2 linked regions of the Saccharomyces cerevisiae S288C genome follow. The protein of the gene in region 1 binds, or shares a complex with, the protein of each later gene. Each region holds a gene or a part of one and is shown on either strand. Other genes may lie near its edges. A codon is read from its position in the direction of its gene.

What was found.
Region 2: the proteins of YPD1 (region 1) and SSK1 are in contact, whole or in part, in a crystal structure (PDB 5KBX), measured with the Saccharomyces cerevisiae proteins. Residues at the interface, in NP_010046.1 of Saccharomyces cerevisiae: Ile13 (codon at 1,673), Glu16 (codon at 1,682), Ile17 (codon at 1,685), Ser19 (codon at 1,691), Met20 (codon at 1,694), Asp23 (codon at 1,703), Asp24 (codon at 1,706), Phe27 (codon at 1,715), Leu31 (codon at 1,727), Gln34 (codon at 1,736), Phe35 (codon at 1,739), Gln38 (codon at 1,748), His64 (codon at 1,826), Phe65 (codon at 1,829), Gly68 (codon at 1,838), Ser69 (codon at 1,841), Ala71 (codon at 1,847), Ala72 (codon at 1,850), Leu73 (codon at 1,853); in NP_013106.1 of Saccharomyces cerevisiae: Asp511 (codon at 3,038), Asn512 (codon at 3,041), Val513 (codon at 3,044), Ile514 (codon at 3,047), Asn515 (codon at 3,050), Ala517 (codon at 3,056), Ile518 (codon at 3,059), Ser521 (codon at 3,068), Phe522 (codon at 3,071), Arg524 (codon at 3,077), Lys525 (codon at 3,080), Gln556 (codon at 3,173), Pro633 (codon at 3,404), Val634 (codon at 3,407), Asn635 (codon at 3,410), Leu636 (codon at 3,413), His637 (codon at 3,416).

The regions. Positions count from the first base shown.
Region 1 is NC_001136.10:32,604-35,554, reverse strand, and holds YPD1 (Ypd1p), read left to right. Parts: upstream 1-1,636; coding exon 1,637-2,140; downstream 2,141-2,951. Other genes in the region: GTPase-activating protein GYP7, read left to right, coding at 1-1,318; PHO13 (4-nitrophenylphosphatase), read right to left, coding at 2,321-2,951. UniProt on the Saccharomyces cerevisiae protein: Phosphorelay intermediate protein that is part of the branched SLN1-YPD1-SKN7/SSK1 two-component regulatory system, which controls activity of the HOG1 pathway and gene expression in response to changes in the osmolarity of the extracellular environment.
Region 2 is NC_001144.5:160,923-165,400, reverse strand, and holds SSK1 (mitogen-activated protein kinase kinase kinase SSK1), read left to right. Parts: upstream 1-1,507; coding exon 1,508-3,646; downstream 3,647-4,478. Other genes in the region: Smc5-Smc6 complex subunit NSE1, read right to left, coding at 1-1,009; TFIIH/NER complex subunit SSL1, read right to left, coding at 3,967-4,478. UniProt on the Saccharomyces cerevisiae protein: Final receptor of the SLN1-YPD1-SSK1 two-component regulatory system, which controls activity of the HOG1 pathway in response to changes in the osmolarity of the extracellular environment.

The sequences.
Region 1 (2,951 bases):
ACAGGAAGCTGAGAGGTATCAAAAGCAGAACAAACTCTTTGATTCGTATAGGAATAACATTTTCAACGACCTGAATCTAACTGATGAATTAAGTGATACTGAAATAAATAATGCTCTGCAAAGACAATTTCCTTTAACGGAAGCGAAATGGAATTCGCTATGGGATGAGAACGATGGGAGGCTGAGGGTCACGGTAAACGAAGTTAAGGATTTCATATTTCATGGTGGGTTAGAAAATGACAGTTTGCGAGGGAAAGTTTGGGGTTTTCTCTTAGAAATATATCCGTGGGATTCTTCTCAAGACGAGAGGGTACAAATCGATCAAACTTTAGCCGCGGAATACGATCAATTGAAACTAACCTGGTCAAAAGATTTTTTACAATTTGACGATGAAGATGAAGAGGAATATTGGAACGATCAATTATTCAGAATATCTAAAGATGTGAGACGCTGTGATAGAAACTTGGAGATATTTCAATACAATACCATCGATGGATTACCACCACCGCCACAACAACTCCCAGCAAATGAAAATAACAGTACCAGCCCCGAATCCGCTAATGACGAGAGCGATGATGCAGACGATGGAGTCAGGAACCCACATTTGATACATTTACAAAACATTCTTATCACTTATAATGTCTACAACACAAACTTAGGCTACGTGCAGGGGATGACCGATCTTTTATCGCCTATTTATGTCATCATGAAGGAAGAATGGAAAACGTTTTGGTGTTTTACGCACTTCATGGACATTATGGAAAGAAATTTTCTAAGAGACCAGAGTGGCATCCATGAACAAATGTTAACTCTCGTGGAATTGGTACAATTAATGCTACCCGAATTGAGCGAACATTTAAACAAGTGTGATTCAGGAAACTTGTTCTTTTGCTTTCGAATGCTTCTAGTATGGTTCAAGAGAGAATTTGAAATGGAAGATATTATGCACATTTGGGAGAATTTCTGGACTTTCTACTACAGTTCACAATTCCAATTATTCTTCATGTTGGCCATTCTACAGAAAAACTCACAAGCTATTTTACAACATCTAAATCAGTTCGACCAAATATTAAAATTTTTTAATGAACTTAACGGGAAGTTGGATTGGAATGACCTAATGGTTAGAGCAGAGCTTTTGTTCAAGAAGTTTGAGAAAATGATGCACGTCATGGAAAGAGATTTACAAAACGTATCCTCCTCTTCATCCTCATCCTCTACCGGCGTATTGCCTTGTCAGAGCGAGAGGTTGACCCTGCTTCTTTCTAAAAAACCTATCATAAGACATGAAGGGCAAAGGAGCAAAAATTCCGTTAAATAGTGGTAAATAGAAACGGAACTTTACATATTGAATACCGGAGATATAATTCGTTTATGCCACATAATCATCAATACATCCGTAACCCGCCCGAAACGGAAAAACTGAAGAAAAATTACATAAAAAGTTTAATATTTTTATCAAATTTAATTGAACCTATATTTAGGAACATTATTGTTTTTAATTTCTAAACCGGTTGGGTTGGTCGATAGTTGTGCTCTGGATCATTGATAACCACTGACGTGTAATAGTTTTATTTCTTTGAAAAATTCAAAAGAAATAACAACACTCGTTCTCGGAAACAAGAAAATACACACAATAATGTCTACTATTCCCTCAGAAATCATCAATTGGACCATCTTAAATGAAATTATATCTATGGATGACGATGATTCCGATTTTTCTAAAGGTCTAATTATTCAATTTATCGACCAGGCACAAACAACTTTTGCTCAAATGCAACGACAGCTGGACGGTGAAAAAAATCTTACCGAATTAGACAATCTGGGCCATTTTTTAAAGGGTTCTTCTGCTGCATTAGGCTTACAAAGAATTGCCTGGGTTTGTGAAAGAATTCAAAACTTGGGAAGAAAAATGGAACATTTCTTCCCCAACAAGACCGAATTGGTCAACACTCTGAGCGATAAATCGATTATTAATGGAATCAATATTGATGAAGATGACGAGGAAATAAAGATACAAGTGGACGATAAAGACGAAAATTCCATATATCTCATCTTGATAGCAAAAGCTTTGAACCAGTCTAGGTTGGAGTTCAAACTGGCGAGAATTGAGTTATCTAAATATTACAACACAAACCTATAATCGTCATCATTTTATTCACACCTCCGGATAATCCATTCTTCCCCGGAAAAACACATGTACAATATATATTATATATATATATATATGTATATCAAATCATACAACTTACATAAAAACAACAAACCTGAATATTTTTCCTTTTCAAAAAGTAATTCTACCCCTAGATTTTGCATTGCTCCTCTATAACTCATTATTGGTTAAGGTGTAGATGTCACCAAGTTTATCAATGTAAAATTTAGGTCTTGGATAATCGTGCGAAATCTTCAAGGCTCTCTCTTCGGTTTCAATACCACTCAAAACGAGTAGTGTGCCACCTAACCCACCTTCAACACCGAATTTCATATCGGTGTTTAATCTGTCACCAACCATACAGCACTTTGATCTATCCAGGTTGAATGCCGATATAATGCTGTTTAGCATATTTTGATTTGGCTTACCACAGTACGATGGCCTCCTATTAGATGAGAATGCCAATGATTCAATCATGGAGCCTGCACCGGGAAATGTATAACCCTTTTGCGGGAAAGTAGAATCAACATTTGTACCAACAAAGTGAACAGAATCCTTCTGCAAATACTGCAGTGTAACAGCCAAACGGTGGTAATTTACCTTCGTGTCTAACCCAGCAATAACACAACTAACATCCTTATCAAGGCCGTTCACCAAAAATGGTGATTTAGCTGCATCGAACGGCGTATCCAATCTGGAATCGGCACCTCCTAGAGATTCGTACCCCATTAGTTTCAATTCTTCACCAATACCGCTTTCTCCAAATACCCATACCTTATCTTTGCCAGGCTGCAATTTCAGA
Region 2 (4,478 bases), on another chromosome or scaffold:
AAATAACGTATACGCCCTCTGTGATTAGCGATGAACCGCAACGATCACAATTCTTGCTTACATGGGTAATATAATGCTTGAAACAATCAACATGCCAAATTTGAGACAGACTATTCTCTCCAGTTTCCTCATTCTCTTCTCGGCATGATTCGTTGCCGCACCTGACACCTTGAATTGCCAGCTTGTGGCAATTTTGGCAAGTGTTCAAATTGTACATGGATGTTAGATACTCTTCTAGTTCTGCTATACAGCGAAGATCAATACCGAATTTCCCTTCCTGAGTCCTGTAAAACCATTTCAGTTCGCATAATCGGAGTAGTAAGTCTTCGATGTCCGTTGCTGTTAATTCTTGAAATTGGAAAAGATTGGTGGACCCTACAGTAAACGTACTGAACTTACGCCATTTCGCGAGGTTTGAGTCTCCTGTAGCTGCTACTAGAATACGGTTGACTTCCTTCACAATTATCGAGGTTTCCAGTGCAGGCCCTTCAACGATAGTCTCTCCACTGATCATGAATTGTTCTATGGCCCATTTCATAAACTCGATCTCGTTTTGGTTAAACCTTGTGGCTAACTTAGTCTCTTCTGTTGATGCTAAGTTAACATATACGAAAAACCTGTTACTCTCCGGAAGTACTATCGATTGCAAAACTGCATAATCATTATTGTGAGCCCTTATTGCTGTATTATCTTCGAAGGACTCAAAATTCTGCTTGGCCTTTAAAGTCACTGCGTTTCTACCAATCCCGTGGTTGATCCGAATGATCTTGTAACCCAAAAGGTTCAGTTTTACGTTTATAGCGTTTATATAATCATTTAGCTTGTCGACCCACTGCTGGATCGACCATTCAGTGTTAAGCGTTGAAGCATCGGTTTCCAATCTCATTAGGGCTAGAATGAGAGCATTTTCATGGCAAATGCCTCTTGCTGACAAGATATATTGCAGCAGATATTTTGCTGTAGCATCCCCTGTTACAGGTGCAGAGACCTGCTCTTCATGTACCTCCATTCGCCACGACTACTATCAGACTTCAGTCAGCAATGAATATGTACCGAACCGCATACATATATAGTTATTATTCTCATCTCCATGCCTATAATTATCGCGTTTCTTTTTTTGGTATCCCTTAACCTAATTTCCATTTTCCAATAATTCAAATTCCCTATATTATTGATATCAGTGTCCTAACTATTTTTTTCAGCTTTCCGAAGCCCTAAAAGCGCCCCTGGATTGAATCTTTGACTTTTTTTCTAGTGAATTTAATAGTGGCTATATATTTATAAATAGGTCTGGTTGCCTTTTTGTTAGGAATGACTACATTGAAACTAGCCAAGCTGTGGTTAACTAGTTGGAGACATTGTTTTATTCAGAAAAATTACGTGTTTTGTTAGTTTTAGACCTCAGAATAGCGTTTATTTTGAGTACAAGTTCGGCCGTTTTGTATAAGAAATATTGGAAAGGCTGCTGTAAATCAAAAACGAATCGATTTTGGGGAGACAAGTAAAAATGCTCAATTCTGCGTTACTGTGGAAGGTTTGGCTACGAATAGACAACTCCACTGATGAAGTAAACCAACCAATTGCTGTACAGTTCGATGAAATAGATACTGTTGATGATTTGAAGAGCAGGTTTTTTCAGAAACTGAGTTCGACTCGATGGCGAGAAATTAACGATAATGCTTCCATTGCAATAGGCCTCTACGCACCTAAATTTGACAATCAAGCCGACAATACCAGTAGTAACAACACTAACGATAATAGTTGTCGAAGTAAGAGTAACGGTGCTGGAAGTGGCGCCAACCTTTCCGTTAATAGCAATACCAAGAGTTCAGTGAGCCCCACAGCAGGATCATTTGGTCTTTCAAAAGACCTTGCAAAGGACAGGAATGTTCTCCAGCATCCTAAACCTACGCAGAAAAGAGGAGCATTATACGACGCCTTTGCCGCCGTGCCGACAGTGGCCGCGACTACCAATGTGGATTTTCCTCCCAACGAGGCGCCAATGCTAAGCCCGCAAAGACCATACTCTACTAGTCCTAAACAGTTTCCAGCAACAACTAAAAGTCCGTTACTGCGATTTGCCTCAGTCTCACCCTACCCTAAATTTCATTCTGATAATCAAATTATGGCATCAGCTGGTCTTACATACGTCTCACCGCATAATAAAAATAAATACACAAGGCCGTTGATTAGAAAAGGTTTAAATTTTACCACAGAATCAGTTAATGATTGCACTTATAAAATCATCTTTGAACCGGATGAATTGGCTATTAACATATATAAGGAACTATTCGGAACCATGGGTTCCCAACCTGCATCGCAGCCTTTGCTGATATTTTCGAATGTTAATTTACGCCAGGATGTACCGCCTTTAGATATCTTAAATGTTGTAGACTATGTTCCTACGAATGAAGAAATTTCGCAGCAGAAAACTCAACCAACAGACCATGGGGCCGTTGGTGTTTTTCATCTAGACGACCATATTTCTCCGGGCGAACAAGGTCTTAAGCAAACAATTGGTGATAAAGCAGATCTTAAAGGTAAAGATGGCAATAGCAGCCCTCAGGAATTTAAATTAATAACTGATGAAGAGCAATTGAGAAGAGCGTCACAAGAACTGAAGGATGAGGAAAAGGATGCCGAGTCTCCTTGGCAAGCAATCTTGCTGTTACCAAAAGGTTATAAAGGAGGGGTAGATTTTCGAAATAAACCAGTGGCCCACACGGATTCATCTTTCAATAATGAAGACACAATTACTCATTCAGAGTTAGAAGTGAACACCGGATCCCCTTCGCAAGAAAGCGGATCACTTAATGAAGCTGGTATAGGCATAACGCAACCCATGTCGGAAGTACAAAGAAGAAAAGAAGACGTTACGCCCGCATCACCAATATTAACAAGTAGTCAAACGCCGCATTACTCAAACTCGCTTTATAACGCACCTTTTGCTGTTTCCTCTCCACCAGATCCTTTACCAAACCTTTTTACCACCACAAGTGAAAAAGTTTTCCCCAAAATTAATGTTTTAATAGTTGAAGACAACGTCATCAACCAAGCTATCTTAGGTTCCTTTCTGAGGAAACACAAAATCTCATATAAACTGGCTAAAAATGGTCAAGAAGCTGTTAATATTTGGAAGGAAGGCGGTCTTCATTTAATATTTATGGATTTACAGCTGCCTGTCTTGTCTGGTATAGAAGCTGCCAAGCAGATTAGGGACTTCGAAAAACAAAATGGCATTGGCATTCAAAAAAGTCTCAATAACTCACACTCCAATCTTGAAAAAGGTACTTCAAAGAGATTCTCTCAGGCGCCCGTGATTATTGTAGCATTGACCGCATCTAACTCTCAGATGGATAAAAGAAAAGCACTTCTTTCTGGTTGTAACGACTACCTGACTAAACCAGTGAATTTACACTGGCTTAGTAAGAAAATTACAGAGTGGGGATGTATGCAAGCCTTGATTGATTTTGACAGCTGGAAGCAGGGAGAAAGCCGGATGACCGACAGTGTTTTGGTTAAATCTCCACAGAAACCTATTGCACCTTCCAACCCTCACTCATTCAAACAAGCGACATCTATGACCCCTACACACAGCCCAGTAAGAAAAAATTCAAACCTCTCGCCCACTCAAATAGAATTGTGAGTTTGGTTGTACCGTGTAGAGGACATTATGATAGAATGTAACGATATTTATTCAAAATAATTATTAATATTATTGTAAAACAAAGAATTTTTTTTTTTTTTTTAGTTGAATAAGTGCCTGATAAATTGAAAATAGTAATAAATATTCTTAATGCCGTAAGTGCTATTAAGATTTTCTCGTAATAAACAATAGGACATTAAATGAGGTTATTTTTGTAATAATTATGTAGTTATATGTCCATCAAAAACTATTTCGTTCTCTACTACTTGGATTTGTTATATGATGGAAGAGTGATCGTGTTATACGCTGACAGATTTTCGTTAAGTTATTACGGGCTTGGATTCACAGCCTGGGCAGTTATGAAGGATTTCATGGATGAACACATCGCAGTCAACACAAAATTCTTGTTTACAATCTTCACAACGATAGCGAGAACTTGTCAGTAGTTTACCATTTTTATGGTTTTTCAGTATGGGAAATCTTGACTGGCAACTAAAGCAGTCTTCTGATCGAAATTTTTCTGTTGTAGGTACTTCTGCAAATGTTTTTAACGGCATCAGATGGTGATATGATCTGGCCAGGTGGGTAGAAAGGATTAGCATCAAGTCACAACATGGACAGACTGTGGGCAATGAACAAACTTTACTATGACAATTGGGACAGAAGTATCCGCCGTAAACTAACTTGGAATGGCACGAACAAAAAGTTGGAGTATCTTCGAATATCCTTGTCGGAAACCCCATCTTTACGAGTGTGAAACCCTTATTAATTTTGTTAACGGGTAAAGGGGTAACAGCCTCGTTAAATAGCTCCTTTAAGTGAGTTTCATCGA